Arabidopsis thaliana: one gene and its partner. The protein of the gene in region 1 interacts with the protein of each later gene in a pairwise test. Each region holds a gene or a part of one and is shown in the gene's direction. Other genes may lie near its edges.

Evidence for each region. Proteins that work in one complex are often made in the same cells at the same time.
Region 2: the proteins of AT1G33490 (region 1) and AT5G11680 interact in a protein complementation assay, tested with the Arabidopsis thaliana proteins (one large-scale study listed by BioGRID).

What each region holds. Positions count from the first base shown.
Region 1 is NC_003070.9:12,149,949-12,154,497, reverse strand, and holds AT1G33490 (E3 ubiquitin-protein ligase), read left to right. Parts: upstream 1-2,037; 5' UTR 2,038-2,221; coding exon 2,222-2,298; intron 2,299-2,386; exon of another isoform or gene 2,387-2,593; coding exon 2,594-2,664; intron 2,665-2,771; coding exon 2,772-2,877; intron 2,878-3,031; coding exon 3,032-3,164; coding exon of another isoform or gene 3,165-3,197; exon of another isoform or gene 3,198-3,416; coding exon 3,417-3,557; 3' UTR 3,558-3,810; downstream 3,811-4,549. Other genes in the region: AT1G33500 (tropomyosin), read right to left, coding at 1-63, 183-230, 427-531, 626-673, 758-812, 898-956, 1,081-1,214, 1,508-1,594 and 1 more; AT1G33480 (RING/U-box superfamily protein), read left to right, coding at 4,377-4,549.
Region 2 is NC_003076.8:3,757,057-3,761,703, forward strand, and holds AT5G11680 (classical AGP protein), read left to right. Parts: upstream 1-1,752; 5' UTR 1,753-1,929; intron 1,930-2,336; 5' UTR 2,337-2,406; coding exon 2,407-2,516; intron 2,517-2,750; coding exon 2,751-2,862; intron 2,863-2,988; coding exon 2,989-3,060; intron 3,061-3,151; coding exon 3,152-3,378; intron 3,379-3,475; coding exon 3,476-3,578; 3' UTR 3,579-3,857; downstream 3,858-4,647. Other genes in the region: NADP-ME2 (NADP-malic enzyme 2), read left to right, coding at 1-33, 121-198, 324-398, 494-584, 678-806, 896-984.

The sequences.
Region 1 (4,549 bases):
ATCTGACAATAGAGCTGTGTATTCCTCTTCTAGGATCTTAATATCCACTGACATTAACTCTGGCTGCATTGTTGACGAATTCAGAAAATAGTATAGTATCAGATGCAGGGCAAAATCTTACATGACTGAACTCATGCAACAGCAACATCACAATGCTAGCAAAGATTACAGAGGGTAATTACCTTAAACTCATTAATCTTGTGCTTCACATTCTCAATTGATAGTTTGATCTGAAATGAAATTATATAATTCAGAGTTGCTTAAAGAGACAAATCTGTGTACTCCAAATTGTTTTTCTTCTTATTTAAGGAATTACTGGAAAGGGAAAAGTAACTAAGTTTATAAATAGGAAACAACACATATCCCAAATACAAAGTGCTAGAACCAAAACTACCAATAGTAAAAAGTGGATCTGAAGTAAATAACCTTCGAATTTTCCTGAAGAAGGTTGGATCTCATCAGTTTTGCTTGATCAAGCTTTGCTCTAGCAGAATCTGATAGTTCCATCAGGTTATTCCTTGTCTCTTTTTTCTGAAGTATCAAGGATCCTAACCTCAGTTACTATGGAAATATTGAAAGTGTCTTGTAATGAAGTAAGCTTATAAGTATTCATAGGAGAACGAACATGTCCTTGTTGACCAGTTTCATTGCTCATATGGGAGATAAACCAGCCCTGGCCAAAATAGGACAACAGAAAGATAACTGTGTTGGTAAACAGCCAATGAGATCACATGAACAGGATATGCAAATAACAAACCTTTTGCTCCTCTAGTTTGGTTCTAGCTTCTTCTGCCGTCTTGAGATAGTTAGAACTACAATTAGATACAATGTAAATTCACAGGAGTCAGGTGATTCCAAAACCGCAATCTAGATATAGGGAGATGTTCTCTGAATTACCGTTTCGATACGAGTTTAGCAGATAAACTGTCTCGTTCTTGAAGAATAAGCTCCAAACTCTACAACAAAGGATACATGTTTACTAAGTGTAAGCACAAGATATACAACTGTGTGACAAATCACAGTACTAACTTCTGCTTCTACAAGACATACTCATGGCTTTCATAAGAGTTTATTAAATACCTGTGCAATATTAACTGAATCAGATTCCATCGACGAAATTTTCCTCTGCTTCTCAAGTATATGTGAGCATATCTCACCTCTTGTCCTCGTCTTCTGATCCGTCTCCTCTTTCAGTCTCTTCGTCTCAGACAATGCTTCGAATAGTGATACCAAAATAAGAAAACTCAGAATAACATCTCATCAAAAAGAGTATGTATGAAGCTGTGTACATAATGATCCAAAACAACCAAATCCAAATCTGAGCGAAGACATCAATGATAGCTAACAGCAAAAATATGTCAATCTATGGAGTTCCTAAACCAAATTACTTCCAATTAGCAATAATATCAACGAAGATCACGACCTAGAATCTTCCGTACGATTTCGTCCATATCAACGAAAAGTTTCTAAAATTCGAAAACGCTGAGAGAGATAGAGAGAAGCTAACCATGTTCGAGATCTTTTTCCAAGGTACTGATTGTTGTAACCTGCATCTGTTCCTCAACGGAGACCTTCGCCGCATGATCCTCCACATCTAACCTCAATCGAATCAAATCGCCAGTTGAAATTTCACCTCAAATCGGAAAAAATCAGAAGCGGAGATGAATATTATTACCAGTCATCTGAGAACGGAGAGTCTTCATATACTGTAGATACTCCTCCATCTCTTCTTCTTCTTCTTCACTTCTCGGATTTCTTCAATTCAAACCTAATCAATCAAATCAGAGAAATATATGAAATTTTTAGAAGTTTTGAATCAGTTCTTCACACGAATTTGAAGATCGGAGAAAAATCTTTACGCGAGCTCTCGCCTTCTGAGAGATTTCGAAATGGTGACAAATTTTTGAAACTAGCGGGAGAACGATAATAGTAGCATCTAGAAGAAGAGGGAAGAAATTACGACCGGGTCGACCCGGTTTAGTGATATGGACTTTATAAAGCCCAATTAAAAAAACACGTAAAAGCCCATTATAATTGTTTTAACCCGTTTACCCGAACCCGGTTCGGGTTCCTTTTAGCGGTGGAGATAAGAGAAACCGATTTGAGTTCTTCAGGTGTCAGTAAACATCATACAACTTCAAGTCTTGATTCAATTACTTGTTGGAAGTGTTCTTCGTCTCTAACTTGCTGAGAAATTCATCGAATTTGTTGAACAATTCTTATGGCGATTTCGAAAGGTAGATTGAAAGTTTGGTTCGATAAGAAGATCAGTGAACCACTTATCCAGATCTTGCGCAGGTTCTATATTCTGTTACTCTCTTCATATTTTGTTTTGATGAATTGGTCTCTATGTATCGTAAAGTTGGTTACTTGTTCATCGATGTAGTTTGATACCATTTCGTGGAACCAAGTAGATAACTTGTGCTACATGTTCACCTTTAGTATTGCTATGTGGGTTTCTTATTTTCAACACTAGAGACCATTGTGAAGAGTTGTGTAACCATGTAGCTTGTAAAGACTCGCCATTTTCTGTGTTGTGAGAGTGCTGATGTCGTAAAAATTTAAAACCAAGCTTGATTTGTTTCCCCTTTAGAGGTGCTGAGCCAAAGCAGCTGGCTTTTTCTGCGGCATTGGGTATTACCATGGGAGTATTTCCAATCTGTGGTGCGTTCTCGTGCTACTTTCTTTTGTGGAATAGTTGCTCATAGAACATTATAGTGTTTGTGAATCTCTAAAGCATTTCACTCAATGGGATATTTGCGTTTTGATAGGTGTTACGGTGTTACTATGTGGAGTGGCTATTGCGTCGCTTGGATCTCTTTGTCATGCTCCAACTGTGATGTTGGCTAACTTCATTGCTACTCCAATAGAACTAAGGTGACCAATTACTTTCCACTTCAAGTTTCCTTTAAAGTTACCCCTTAAATCAATACAAAGAGACAACACAAAACAGATTTTTATTCATTTTTCCAGTTACCAGTATCAAATTGAACCCTTATGTGTATTTTTTAAAATGTGTTTCACGTTGAAGTCTTGTGGTGCCTTTCTTACGACTTGGCGAAAAAATAACCGGTGGACCTCATTTTCCTTTAACATCTGATGCCCTAAAGAAGGTTTTCACAGGCCAAGCTTCCCGAGATGTTTTTTTAAGCATTGGAAATGCGGTAAGGTTCTTCTGTCTTAGCTTAGTGGTGTAGATGTTGGTGATTTCTATTTGATGCGAAGCTGCTCATCGCATTTCCTGCCAGAATCTTTAGGTTCAGTATCTTCCAAGTGGGATTTTCTCTAGTATGTTGTCATTTGTCAGTGTTTTTCAAATCTGAAGATAATATTGGTTTCCTCTCGTGATTTATGTCGATGACAAGTTGGTTTGGGTTGTCATATAACTGGCTTAAAACAAGAACTTATTTATGCAGCTACTAGGATGGCTCATAGCGGCACCATTTGTGATCGTTGCACTATACATCATGTTTCTCCCATGTTTCAAAATACTTGTCCGCAAATTCAGCTCTGTTGATTCAACCGCAAAGACACCTACAAAGGAAAGGATCGCGTAAAATGAAACAGTTATCGGTTTCAACAAAGCTAGAGCGTTGGAGATCCTATGACCTCATGTTCCTGCTATATCGATACTGAGGTCCGTGTTTGAGTTATCTGTAACAATAAACCTCCCTGTAAATTACAGTGTTTGAAACAGTTTAGGCCTTAGAGGGAGAATGTCAAAGGAAAATATAGAAGATAAGTCATGTACTCATATTCATGTCCAACTAAATATATAATGAGAAAGGCAAATGAATGTTTTCAAGACAATCAAAAGTACCCTTGAACTAACCAAGTCCTTGTTCTTCTTTATGGATAAGTACTTTATGAATCTAGAGAGAAAAAACAAAAGCAATCTGGTACGTGTCTCCATTTGGTTACAAAAGAGAACAATCAAGACCTTGAGGTTGACAACTTGGTGATGGCCAACAAAATGAAGGATTTGTCGGATTAATGGATTATGATCGGTGCAAGTAATAACGTTTCCCCTCCTCTTTGTTTCTTGTTTGCTTGTTCGGCCAGAATCTACGGGAAAAGTTATCTAACATTTCAATAATCTCTCAAATTCATTATTAATGCCCCCTAACTTTTTTTAATTTTCCTCTTTAAAAATAACAAGGAAACAGACAGTTGCCCTATACTGAAAGCTAAATGCTTCACCTGAAACCTCTCCTCTGCCACATCTCTCTTTCTCTCTCACACATACATTATTTCAATTATTGTTTTTTTTATAACTCCAATCTTGAATCTTGACGATCTCTGGTTTCTTCATTCAAAGGAGGAGACTTTTTGGGGTTTTTAGACTTTGCTTGTCTAGTTTTGTCTTGTGTGTGGTGATGTCTTATAGTAATTCAAACCCGGAAAATTATTCAGCTGCAACGAGCTCGCCGGAGCTTAAACTATATCAAGCATTTATCTTTTCTGTTCCAATTTGTTTCACATTTATTATTCTCTTCTTGTTTTACTTGATCTACCTCCGTCGTAGTAGCTCTGATTTGTCTTCTCTTGG
Region 2 (4,647 bases), on another chromosome or scaffold:
GAAGTTGTCGAGGCCATGGCTACCAACAACGAGGTTTCTTCTTGTTCTTACTCTCTGCTTTTTCAGAAAACAAGGTATTTATGCTATTTTTCTAATGCTGGTCTTGGTGTTGGCTTATAGAAACCGTTGATTCTTGCTCTCTCAAACCCTACTTCTCAAGCTGAGTGTACTGCTGAACAGGCTTACACATGGACCAAGGTATAATATTGTCTCATATGACATCTAAATGTGATTCATGTCCTCACTCCTGATTATACAACAAAATTATAATTTGGTTTTCATGCTGCTCCTCGAATCTAATCATATATTGTGCTTAAAAAAAGGGTCGTGCAATCTTTGGAAGTGGAAGCCCATTTGATCCTGTTGTGTACGATGGCAAAACCTACTTGCCTGGCCAGGTTCGTGCTATTTCAACAACTTCTTCTCTCTCAACTTTGTACATCTGACAATCTTAGAGCTCACATCATATTTCCACTATCCTACTTAACTTCAGGCAAACAATTGCTACATTTTCCCTGGTCTGGGTCTTGGTTTGATCATGTCTGGGGCAATTCGTGTCCGTGATGACATGCTCCTCGCAGCTTGTAAGTAAAAATAAACTTCAGAAAATCAAACATGGATACTGATAAAGACACTTAAAGATTCTCAATGTCATCTCTCTCTCATGTTTTCAACAGCTGAAGCATTGGCCGCACAAGTGACAGAAGAGCATTACGCCAATGGTCTGATCTACCCGCCATTCTCAAACATCAGAGAGATCTCTGCTAACATTGCAGCCTGTGTCGCCGCCAAAACCTATGACCTCGGTTAGTTGAATGAAACTGTCTTAACTCTTTTAATGAGACTGTCTGAACTCTCTAATCTCAAGTTCTAAAATCGATGTATTGTGGTGTAGGATTGGCGTCGAACCTGCCACGTGCAAAGGATCTTGTCAAGTTTGCAGAGAGCAGCATGTACAGCCCTGTGTACAGAAACTACCGTTAAAAAAGTTTTGTTGAAGAAACCTGCAGATTATACTATTCACAACCCTTGATAGTTTCTTAAGGCTTGTATTTAAGTTTTTTGTTTGTTTGTTTGTTGTTTGTTTTCTCTTCTACATTATGATGCTGTTTGTGAACTCTCTCTCTGTCTTTGCTGATAAATAATAAATTGTTACTAATATAATCTACAAATCATTATTGTCTCAAAGTTACACTTTCCATCCCACATCACAAAATCGATCAACTTGTCTTGGAAGGGAATAATATGCTTTTTTCTGCCACTTGTTGTATCTTATTGGTTGTTTTATTAAAATGGTATAATTGTTGCAGAATTAAAGAACTTGTATCATTATTTTGAAGAGTTTATCAAAAGTTTCATATAGATAATAGGACTATAGAAGCATAGCTGAATACTCTTTTGAAAGTGGTTTCTAAATTGTACTGAGCAAAATGTTCTAAAAACAACAAAACTCCTAATCTTAAGCTAATGATTTTGGCATTTTAGGTAACTACTTGTTATAAATAGCTAAAACAATAACAAGAATCTCTAAAACTCGTCTTCACGTTTTGGTTAAAATCGAAAGCTCAAACAATCCAAACCAAAACTAAACCGAAACAAGATGTCAAAAAAATAAATAAACACCTAAACCGAAACCAAAGTTAAAACAACTGAAAATGGGCTGAACGGTCCCTTTAATCTGAGATGTAATAAGGCCCAAATAGTAACTGTAGATGGGGACAATTGTAACGAAATCAAATTGCGGGCGAAAATCGAACTAAAGAAATAAGTAGAGGGACGAATAAAATGGTTAGAAGGTTTTAAGAATAAACCGCGTCGCGTCTCTTTTCTGGAAAAAACGAGAAACTGTGATCTTGGCCCTTTTATTACCCCTATCCTCTTCTTCTTCAATCTCTCCGATCAAAATCCTTTTAAGCTCTGTAGACCCAGGTATGTTCCTTCAGCTTTTCTATTCGCGAGAAAATTACGAGTAAAGGATTGCTTGAAATTGAACTTGGATCGTTCTGTTACTGCTTTCTTATTGCTATCAGATTTTGATTCTCTAAGGAATTAGATATTTTCTTTGTTGATTGATTTGTTTTGAACACGTATTATTAATCCTAGTCTTTGTTTCTACATTATAGGAACGTTTCGATTTGAATTAGCTAAAAACCTCAATTTTATTTGCTCTTTTGCATATCTGAAATTGGAAGCTGATGATATGTGGATGTTAATTGGCTCTAGTTACTTGGATCTGTGAATAATTATTTGCTAATTTGGAGCATGTTCCTTTGAATTATCTTCTGATTGTCTAAGTATATTTGGAAATGTGTTTATATTCTCATTTGTGTGATCAGGTTACGCAGAGAAGAAGAACAGAACAAGGAATTATATAATCATTGGCTTGATCAATCTGAATTGCAGTTCATGGCGCTAAACCCTCAATTACTACCCAATGGGATGCCTGTTCCCTTTGTTAATGAAATGTTCGTCCTAGTCCGAGATGGTGTTGAGTTTGAAGTCGACAAGATCCCTGGGTTCGTGTTCCCTTCTCTCGTCACGCATGTTTTGGATCTCCTTAAGTGGTTTATTGATTTGATGATTATTGTTGGTCTCCATTTTAGTACCGTTTTGAGTCGGTTTAGATCCACTCATCTAGCATATGAACCATTAAGTTTACTTGTAAATAAGATAAGTCTCAGAAGTGAACAGACATATGAGCTCTGGGCTTTAAACACTTCCCTGATGTTCTTTCTTGTTGTATGATCCAGAGGGCATGGAGGTCATGTTAAGGCCAAGGGGGTGATTTACTTGTCTAATATACGGATGGTCTTTGTTTCAAGCAAGCCTGTTGACAACTTTGTTGCTTTTGACATGCCCCTGGTACAGTAACTTTATCTTATTTTTGTCTCTGATTTAGTTAATACATGGCACAAGTGTAGCTCTGTTAAATTTGGTTATGGAACTACATGCTACATATTAGCTTATGGATTATATGTTACTCTGTAGCTTTACATCCATGCCGAGAAATTTAATCAGCCAATATTTCACTGCAACAATATTGCTGGACAAGTGGAGCCTGTAAGTACAAACTTTCATGGAGAATTTATAGTTTCTTTCCTTGTAAGGAAACTATACATATTTACTTATTGGCATGTAACAAAATTTCCAGGTGGTGCCAGAAAATGAGCATAGAGCTCTATATTCAACACACAGTTTCAAGATCCTATTTAAGGAAGGTGGTTGTGGGACATTTGTTCCTCTCTTCTTGAATCTCATATCATCAGTGAGACAATACAACAGACAAATGCAACAAGCAGCAGAAGCAGCAGCGGCAGCTCCTCATGTTGATCCTCTTCAAGCCGCTCAGACACCTGTGGACGAAATGATGAGACATGCGTAAGTCCCATCAGAAATCAATCGGAAAGTTTTTTGATAGTAGTAAAAGCTGTTGTTCCTCATAAAATCTTGTGTGGTCGTCATTGTGTATGTGCAGGTACGTGGACCCTAATGATCCAACGAGGATATATCTGCAACAGCCATCAGGGGAATCTCAGTTGAGGCGTAGAGCTTACCATTCGGGTGCGGCGGAACATTGAGATACACGGAAAAAAAAAATACAAAGGCTATGAATACAGAAACAGCAACAGATTAGTGTTGCTAATAAGCAAAACGTGTTGTTTGTTTGTTTAAAGTTGAAAACTAAAAGTCTAAAACCATCTGTGTAAAGAAAGATGAGACTTGTTTGGTGTGTGGATGTATCTGGTAAAATTGGAGTCGTAATAATCATAAGTTTGGTTCATATATTGAACAAAATGTGGGTCGAAAACCCTGCCGGTTCGCCTGAACCATGAAAAGTCGGATTTGGCTGATCCGCACGCTCAATTTTCTTCAGCTAAATCGCGAATACTTGAGCTTGTAGTAAGTCGTGGCCACTAGTGGGACACACAAAACCACAAAACATATATTTTGCAAGCTAAAACCCAATGGACTAAGATTTGAGGTTCAGGGTTGGACCATAAAATTTGGAATGGATAATCGGATACTTTAGGTTGGGTTGGTAGTTTTCAATATTGAAATTGGGTTTTTGGACCTTTCCTTAGTTTTTGATTTAAAACAAAATTGTAAAAGAAAATGAAAATACGAAGGTGGCATTCTAGCTTTATTTTCCAGAGAAAGTGGCTTTCCAGCCATTTATTAAAAAAAACAAAGACCAGGGTGTTTTTTTTCTGACAAAACAAATTGTAACACTCACTAGGCATAGCATTCTAGTTAGTTCTGCAGAAATTTATAGCGACACTGGTCCAAATTAGGAGGAGCGAGAGCGAAGGTACGAGTGAGGATTTACAATTGTCGATCGTTTTCACCTAGAAACCCTAATTTCGGGGGCTCGCACGCCCTCTCTGATTAGAAGCGACTTCATTATCGGTCACTAGAATCTGCTGCTTCTTTTCTGGTTAGTGTTTAACCAAGCTCCGTTTTGTTTGCTCTTAATGGAATCAGAATTTCTATCATTCCTAGATTAGTTTCTGTGATGTATATCTCTGGTATTCGGATTCTTGTGCTGAGCTCAATTCATAAGCGGAGGATTTCTTAGCTTCGATAATTAGCCCTTTTCAAAATTTGCAGCTTTTTATGCGGTTTGTTCTTAAGATGATTGGTTCATTC